2 linked regions of the Mus musculus genome follow. The protein of the gene in region 1 binds, or shares a complex with, the protein of each later gene. Links are inferred from orthologs where the notes say so. Each region holds a gene or a part of one and is shown on either strand. Other genes may lie near its edges. The genes, in order: Eif3g and Eif3k.

Region 1 (4,268 bases):
GAAAGTCTCTTGCCACCGTTGAATACCCAACCAATGGGAGCAGGATACGTGTAAGGCAAAACCATGTTCCCAGGTAAACCCCCCATTTCTGAATCCTGATTGGTGATGTGACTTGGCCCAGATGTTTGTGGATTTGAGGCTTAAAAACCCTGCAGGATCTTAAGTCAGGGTCACAGTTCAGGTCCTGAATCTGGACTGTGGCCCTGGTTAACCAGTCCTGACATGTATGCTCAATAAAGTGCCTCTCTCTGACTGAGACTGGGGCTCGTGTGGTCTGTGAGGGGACTCCTGGACCACAGCAGGAGGCTGGCTGCCAAGCCTGAAGGCCTGAGATCAATCCCAAGACCCACATAGTGGAAGGAGAGACTGTCTGCAAAGTGTCCCCTGACCTCCATGTGTGCTATGTATGCACAAGCATGCTGTCTTCAAATAATACAAACGCACAACAAGGTTGTAGGATAAACCCTAGCATGCTACACAGCAAAGGAGGCACAGGAGACCAGGTGGCCTCTTATTCAAAGAAAGGACGTCTTAGCACAGGACAAAAGGGTTTGGTCTGAGTCTGTTTCTTCTTCAACAAACCAGAATCCTGGTATCCTCTAAACGATGTGGGGCGAGGGCATTCTTGATACACGTGCTTTTCAGCCAAGCTTGTTGGCACACAATTATAGCCCCAGCTATTTGTGAATTCCTTGCGTTTAGGAGTTCAGGGGCAAGCCTGGGGAACAAAGCAAGACACCTTTAGTTTTGGAGACAGAGTCGCATGGAGCGCAGGCTAGTCTGGAATCCACGAGGTAGCTGAAAATGGCCTTTAACTCATAATTTTCCAGCTTCCACCTCCAGCACTGCGATTACTGATGGCTGAAAACTAATTCTCCGGGAAGAGGGAGAGAACGAATCAGTTCCGGGTGTGGCGATTTCATGTTCATATTCCCAGCACGGACGAGAGTAAGGTGGAAAGACAGCTATGAATTCAAGGCCACCCTGGGAATACTGCTCGTGAGCCTGTACTTTCAGCCTTTTGGAGTTGAGACAGGATTGTGAGGCTATCCTATCTATAGAGTGAGACACTCACGTCTAGCCCCATTACCCAAAGGGGGAAAAAAAAAGTTTAAAAAGTTCTTTGAAGCTTTTTTTTGGACCCCTTTTCCAGGTTGGATCTCAGCGCTTTGCGGTGCGCGAGAGCCGCGTGTCCACCTTTGTCCGCAGGGAGGCGCTGTGCTCACCGCGGTCTGGCCGCTCTAGGCTGCGGCCGCGGCACCGGAAGCCTCTTCTACTCCGGCTTCCTGTCTTTACCCGGGCTGGGAGCTGCGTGGAGTTAAGACTTCGAGATGCCGACTGGCGACTTTGAGTATGCGTGGGGTGGCGATGGGGTCGCCGGGGAGGCCGCGTGGGGGCTGCTCTGGGGTGCGTGGGGGTCTGGGCGGCGCGGGGGGCCGGGACCCGCTCACCAATCTCCTGTCCCCGCAGCTCGAAGCCCAGCTGGGCCGACCAGGTGGAGGAGGAGGGAGAGGACGGTGAGTGCCGAGCGTGGCCGCGCCCGCTGCCTGTTCCCGGGGCCCACGCTCCGGCTAGGGCCGCGCGTGGCCAGCCCCACCCTCGCCCTGCGCTGTGCCCCCGGTGCAACCCGCAAACACACAACACACACACACACACACTCTCTCTCTGACTTGAAAGTTCCCGTCCCGTGGCTCACTCTACCTTCCTCCCCGAATTCCCTCTGGCAGACAAATGTGTCACCAGCGAGCTCCTGAAAGGAATCCCTCTGCCCACCGGGGACACCAGTCCAGAGCCCGAGTTACTGCCCGGAGGTGAGCAGTGTCCATCCCTGCCTGCTTCCTCTTCCCTTCCGACTCTCAAGCCTACTTTCCAGCCAGTCCCCATTACCCGGGAATCAGTTTCTGTCATCTTCCTCCAGACCCGCTGCCACCTCCCAAGGAAGTCATCAATGGGAACATAAAGACAGTGACTGAGTACAAGATAGAGGAAGATGGGAAGAAATTCAAGGTGAGGTCGAAGTGGACACATAGGGCCAGTGCCTTTGTGTTCAGGGGTTCAGGTGGAGGGGTGTCAGTGGCTGAGACAGGGCCTGAGGCTCTGGAAGCACTCCTCTCTTATTCATCTTCAGATTGTCAGAACCTTCAGGATTGAGACCCGGAAGGCATCAAAGGCTGTGGCAAGGAGGAAGGTGAGATTCTACCTCATTTGGGGGGTAGGGTGTTCTCTGGGGCTGATCCTGAGGAGTTGGGAAGCCCCTTTTTGTTGATGTGGAGTAAACGTTTAGTGTTAGGCCTTGAAAGGTTAGGGCCCAGGAGTAGATGAAGTTAGATGCTTTATTTATTCATTTACTTTTGTTTTTTTATTGTTCTCCTTTTGTGTGCGGATGTGCGCAGCATCATCCCCCCCAGCACATGGCACAGCATACTTTTGGTTTGAGCTGGTCTCTCGGTATTAGGAACTAGACTAGGCTTGCTGGGCACTAACAGCCCCAGGGACCCTGCTGTCCCCACTTCCTGTCTGGCCTGCACCGGGAATGCAAGTTTGCCTCTGTGCACAGTGTTTGACTGTGGGTGCTCGGGGTCAGAGTCTGACGGACACTTGTGTGACAGACACTGTACTGAGACATACCCAGCCCTCTTGGGTTTTATTGTTTGTAGTTTGTTTTTCCAGACAGGGTTTCTCTGTGTAGCCCTAGCTGTTCTGAACTCACTCTGTGGTCTAGGCTGACCTTGAACTCATAGATCCACATGCATTAGGATTAAAGGCATTGCCACCATTTGCTGGCTTGTTATTTTTGAGAGGCTCTAGCTCTGGTCTTCATTCTAAATGCTTCTGCCTCAGCCTCCTGCATCCTGACCTCCATTCTCTCTCCTTTGACCTGTCTACATGAAGAAGCAAGCAGCCTCTACTTACCTAGGGGGGAGGGCTTGTAGAGGAGGGACAGCGACGCTTGAGAGCAAGGTCCCGTGCCAGCGTTCAGCAAGACACAGCTTCTCAGGCTCCAGGCCAGCTTAGGGAGGCAGGGAGCTTTGTGGCCCCTGTTTTACAGGCAGGAAATGAGTTTCAGGTTTAACTGGCTCGGTTCCTAAGGTCTGGGTGATTCCTCCTTTGTCCCTGGTGGGAGGCTGGCCATGGAGCAGCCCAGAAACTGCCAGCGGCACAGTGGAGCCCTGTACTCAACCTTTTTTTTTTTTTTTTTTCTCAAGACAGGGTTTCTCTGTATAGCCCTAGCTGTCCTGGAACTCACTCTGTAGACCAGGCTGGCCTCGAACTCAGAAATCTGCCTGCCTCTGCCTCCCTCCCAAGGGCTGGGATTAAAAGCGTGCGCCACCATGCCCAGCATGTACTTAACCTTTTATATGAGTGTTAGAAAGTGTACTGCACGTTTTCACACGAGCTACCTTACCAGCACCTACCTCAGATAACTCAGGCTGGTTTTGAGCTTGCGTGTCTTGAGGTCCTCCTGTTTGCACCTGGCAAGTGTTGGGGTGACAGTTGTGTGCCACTGTGTTTAGCTTAGGGAATGGGGATTGTCACCATTACCACAGGGAAGGCCTCTAGAGAGACTAGATCTTCGGATTCAAGGCCCCGGAATGGTTGTCTGTCTGGGGTACCCACTGCAGGATCCTTCCTGTCTTTTCCTCACTTCTCCCCATTGTTTTCTGGGAGCCCAGAATTGGAAGAAGTTTGGCAACTCGGAGTTTGACCCACCGGGGCCCAATGTGGCCACTACCACAGTCAGTGATGACGTCTCTATGACATTCATCACTAGCAAAGAGGTGAGCTGGGTGAAGCTGGAGCCTGAGAAATGCAGTGGGGGTGGTGTGGGCCGGGCCCAGCAGCCTCCTCTGAGCCTTCCCTCCCTATACCCCACCAGGACCTAAACTGTCAGGAGGAGGAGGACCCAATGAACAAGCTTAAGGGCCAGAAGATTGTGTCCTGCCGCATTTGCAAGGGCGACCATTGGACCACCCGTTGCCCCTACAAGGACACACTAGGACCCATGCAGAAGGAGCTGGCTGAGCAGCTCGGCCTGTCTACTGGGGAGAAGGAGAAACTGCCAGGAGGTGTGGACGTGGGGACCTGGGAGGGTCTCAGCTGTTCTGTGGTAGTGTGCTCTTCTCTTCCCTGCATTACCTGTGGCCAAGTTTGAGTGGCTTCGGGCATGGTCATCCTGATGTGTGACTGATAGCTTACTCTAACTTGGGTATGCGTGCGTGCATGCGTGCGTGTACATATATACTCTGTGTGTGTGTGTGTGTATGTGT
Region 2 (4,329 bases), on another chromosome or scaffold:
AAAACAGGCTTTAGTGAGTATATGTGGAGGCCCAGCACTGCCATGGGGAGAGGAGAAACAGAATCTTCTAGAAGTGTGTAGGCCAATCAGCATTCAGAGGCAGACACTCAGAAAGGTGGAAAGTGCTGGACATGGTGCCCCACGCCGTTAGTCTCAAAGCTACCCTGGTCTACATCGTAAGTGGCAGGACTTAACAAAACAAAATGGTGGAAAGCGAGATTGACTGCTCCGAGTTGTCCTTGGACCTCCACACTTAAAACTCACACTCATAAAACAAAACGAATTAAAAAGAATAAAATAAATGTTTATGCCAGGTAGGCATGCCAGCCTGTCTCGAACTCGGTCTCTGAGGTGTGAACAGAGGATCCCAAGAGCAAGCTGGTTAGCAAGACAAGCTGTGTTGGTGGATTCTGGGCTTAATGAGGCCTTGACTCTGAATAAGGTGGAAGAATGACTGGTGCCTGCTATCAACCTCAAGGCTCCACACGCATGTGTGCACACACAGCCCCTACACACACACACACACACACACACACACACACACACACACACACACTCATGAATATGGGCAAAAGAAACAAGGAAAAAGGCTGCCACCAACCCAGGGCCGAGAGGAAGATCTCTGGTGTAGAAAAGCTTGCGCTATGTGATTACAGCGGAGCTCAAAAGAAAGCAGGCCTGGGCTGGTGAGATGGCTCAGTGGGTAAGAGCACCCGACTGCTCTTCTAAAGGTCTGGAGTTCAAATCCCAGCAACCACATGGTGGCTCACAGCCATCTGTAACAAGATCTGACGCCCTCGTCTGGATTGTCTGAAGTCAGCTACAGTGTACTTACATATAATAAATAAATCTTTAAAAAAAAAAAAAAAAAAAGCCCAGCTACTGTTTAAAAAAAAAAAAAAAAAAAAAAAGAAAGCAGGCCTGACCTAAGCTGACTCAAGGGACCCAAGGCTAGGCCATAAGGGCTCAACAGTGATTACCTAAGCTGGGGGGTTGATGGGGCAAAGCATGTGAGCCAAGAGGCAGTGAAACTAACAAAATGAATTTTCATTTACAATAATCTGTCTAGCAACACAACTGTTTATTGACCATCTTGTATGATTTTGGAATGGATTAAAGACAAAAACAGGGCTGGTGAGATGGCTCAGTGGTTAAGAGCACCGACTGCTCTTCCAAAGGTCCTGAGTTCAAATCCCAGCAACCACGTGGTGGCTCACAACCATCCTTAACAAAATCTGATGCCCTCTTCTGGAGTGTCTGAATGTACTTACATATAATAAATAAATAAATAAATAAATAAATAAAATAAAATAAAAAAGACAAAAACAAAACAAAAACTCCTAATCTGACCTTCTAAAACACCGAAGAGAAGTCCCATCTTGCAGCTTGCCCCAGGCCCCTCTGCACCAGGTTCCCTCTCCAGAGTGGCTTCCTGCTAGGCAGCTGTTCGTATGAGGGTGGGGACAGACACTCACAGTTTCAGGACGGCCAGGTTGGCCTCCAGATCATAGGCATTCTCTTTGGCTTGTGTCTCCACATATCGCTCCAGGGTAGCCAAGTTCTCAGGATTGTACCTGGAAGAGCATCAAGATGGGTGAACAGCCTGGCACAGTGGTTACATGCCTTTCATCCCAGCACCTAGGAGGCTGAGGCAGGACAGGAGGATTGCAAGTTTGAAGCTAGTCTGCAATTAATAGTGAAAACCTGTCTCAAAAGGAAAAAGGGAGCCGAGCAGTGGTGGCGCACGCCTTTAGTCCCAGCACTTGGGAGGCAGAGGCAGGCGGATTTCTGAGTTCGAGACCAGCCTAGTCTACAGAGTGAGTTCCAGGACAGCCAGGGCTACACAGAGAAACCCTGTCTCAAAAAACAAACAAACAAACAAACAAAAAAAGGGGGGGGGAAGATAGGGAGATAACTACACAGACAGACATGAGTAAACAAAGAGAAGAACAGAGGCTAGTCCTTAGGGACCACTGTAATTTGTTAACCTGAAATCACTCTCTTCTTCCTACAGCTTTTATTCTGGCCATGGGATATTCCTCACTTTGCTATTTTCTTTTTAAATAAATCTGTAGGAAGCTTTATTACATTCATTCGATCTTAAAATAAATAAGTTAGTCCCACCCACTGGAACTACCCAGATAGCTGATCAATTAACTGTACAACATCCAGTAAATGTTTTTCCTAACATGGGCCTCTAGCTAGCCCTACTTGAGCCCCTGGTCATGTCTAGGATGCCTCCAACCTCAGTCAGTCTCTGCAGCCCGTATGTTTTCCTGAACACCTTCTCTTCGATCCCGTTCTGACCCAGTTCCATCCTCTCCTGCCTATCTCAATACGTGGCTTGACCTGACCAGGCCCTGATCGCTCCTTATTGTCACTATCTGCTGAATGGGGTTGTCGCCAGGATGGAATGGGAACCTAAGTCCAGGAACGCAGGACCGGTTCCCGTTTCCATCACCTCCGGTCCCCACTGGCCAAATAGACATCAGAAAACACTATGTAGGATGGTCCACAAGGACAGAGAAGGAAGAGACTAAAAGACACCGGGAGTCTGTGGCAGCAGAAAAGGTAAAGTTGAGGGACGGAGAGAAACTTGGAGAAACTCCATCTCTGGAGGAGCGTGGAGCCCTGGCCACCCCTGGCTGGCTCCCCGTCTTCTCCACCCCGCTTGGCCAGAGAGCGCCCTTCAGCGGAATTCAGACCTGTCGATACCCTTGAGCAACTTGCCCACGTTCGCTCTCATCTGCTCAAACATCGCCATGATCACTGTTGCCTTCGGCAGCCTCAGCTGGAGTCGAACACCAGGCACGGTGCTTAGCACTAGAGGACCGGAAGAGAGGTGTAGGAAGCGGAACCTGCGTCACACCCTCCCTCCAGCTCCTACAAGGAAGGCAAAGGGAAAGGCGCTTTCAGCACCAGCGCCGGTTGTTTTTTTTTTTTTTTTTTTTTGTCTACCACGTGATTTCCTTCCAGCAGTTGTAACTTGCGCATGCGCAATGAGCTCACTTAAAAGAGACCAATAGCGTGAGAAAAGGTTTAGTCTGCCTTACTACGCAGGCGCCAGGAGGCGGGCTAAGCTTTTCCCGGGCCGCGCAAACTTAGTACTTAAGCTTCTGACGCGCGTGCGCTGGAGTTGTACGGGGAAAGGAGACTTTATTTTCTCTACGCATGCGTAGCCTTAAGCGTTTAGCCCCGTGAAGGGTTGCTGTTTCCTTTTCTTTGAGTTTAGTCGGGTGGGAGATGCTCTCTGAAGCCCTTCTTGTCTCCGACTTGGGTGCCTGAGACAGCATCTTGTATGTATCTTCACTTCCTCGCTGGTCCCCACTCGGTTCCGTACTGCTACAGTGCTGTTAGGAGGCCGGGAAGGCAAAAGACACCTGTAGTCTCCATCGGCTCTGCGTAGGGGCTACTAACAAGTGTTCCACGTCTGCCACAGATTCCCTACACGTTTGAAGCGTTGCACAGACATGTGCCATGCGGGCAGGTGCCCTGAGCTCAGCTGTCACTTAAGTCACATGCATGTGTCACGAGTAAACAGGTCTTCTGTGAAACCTAGCCAGCTTTGTGCAGACCTGCAACCTCTGGCTTGATTCCAGATCTTCAAGAACCCAGCAGAGGTTCAACCGTAACCTATGACTCCTCCCAAAATAGAGTGTTGGGGAGAGGGTGCTAGGTCAGCCCCAGGTTGCATTTAAGAACTTTTGCATCTTATTTACATAGTGTCCTTCAGTGGGTAAAGGGGAGTCCCATGGGTCCCAAGGCGATCAAACTCTCAGAACCCAGGGGACGGGGGTGGAGCCCTCTGTGCAGCCCTCTGCACAGCCCTGCAGCTGGGGCAGGAAGCGAGAGTGGGGAGGGGGAAGGCCACAGCCCACAGAGTCAAGGCGGGCCCAGGACTTGTGTGGAGACAGAAGGTAATACCAAAGCTTGAACCCTGAGGCCCTGTTGGCCCCCTGGGCACTGGCCCAGCCCCGGCCTCCAGGAATGGCCCTTGTGGACCCCGACATTTTTAATAAGGACCCTCGAGAACACTATGATCTACTGCAACGACTGGGTGGTGGAACTTATGGAGAAGTATTCAAGGTGAGAAAGCCCTTCTGTCTCCTCCACCACAACCCTGGGATAGTTGGGGAGAGGCTGGCAAGCAGGAGTGTAAGAGAATGCCAGGCCTTGGCCTTGGTTCAGAGATGCTGAGGATGGCAAGCTATGGAGTCTGCCTGATGACCAACTTCCCCTTTACAAGGCTCGCGACAAGGTGTCTAAGGACCTGGTGGCTTTGAAGATGGTGAAGATGGAGCCTGGTGAGAGCACCCCCAGAAACTTCTT

Evidence for each region.
Region 2: Eif3g (region 1) and Eif3k share a complex: the UniProt entries of both Homo sapiens proteins name them as parts of the eukaryotic translation initiation factor 3 (eIF-3) complex. The link is inferred for Mus musculus from reciprocal best matches to the Homo sapiens genes EIF3G and EIF3K.

The regions. Positions count from the first base shown.
Region 1 is NC_000075.6:20,895,627-20,899,894, reverse strand, and holds the start of Eif3g (eukaryotic translation initiation factor 3 subunit G), read left to right. Parts: upstream 1-1,304; 5' UTR 1,305-1,331; coding exon 1,332-1,351; intron 1,352-1,470; coding exon 1,471-1,517; intron 1,518-1,727; coding exon 1,728-1,811; intron 1,812-1,918; coding exon 1,919-2,007; intron 2,008-2,128; coding exon 2,129-2,188; intron 2,189-3,674; coding exon 3,675-3,779; intron 3,780-3,877; coding exon 3,878-4,067; intron 4,068-4,268. UniProt on the Homo sapiens protein: RNA-binding component of the eukaryotic translation initiation factor 3 (eIF-3) complex, which is required for several steps in the initiation of protein synthesis.
Region 2 is NC_000073.6:28,978,969-28,983,297, forward strand, and holds the start of Eif3k (eukaryotic translation initiation factor 3 subunit K), read right to left. Parts: upstream 2,921-4,329; 5' UTR 2,765-2,920; coding exon 2,706-2,764; intron 1,575-2,705; coding exon 1,476-1,574; exon of another isoform or gene 1,351-1,475; intron 1-1,350. Other genes in the region: Map4k1 (mitogen-activated protein kinase kinase kinase kinase 1), read left to right, coding at 3,988-4,086, 4,247-4,304. UniProt on the Homo sapiens protein: Component of the eukaryotic translation initiation factor 3 (eIF-3) complex, which is required for several steps in the initiation of protein synthesis.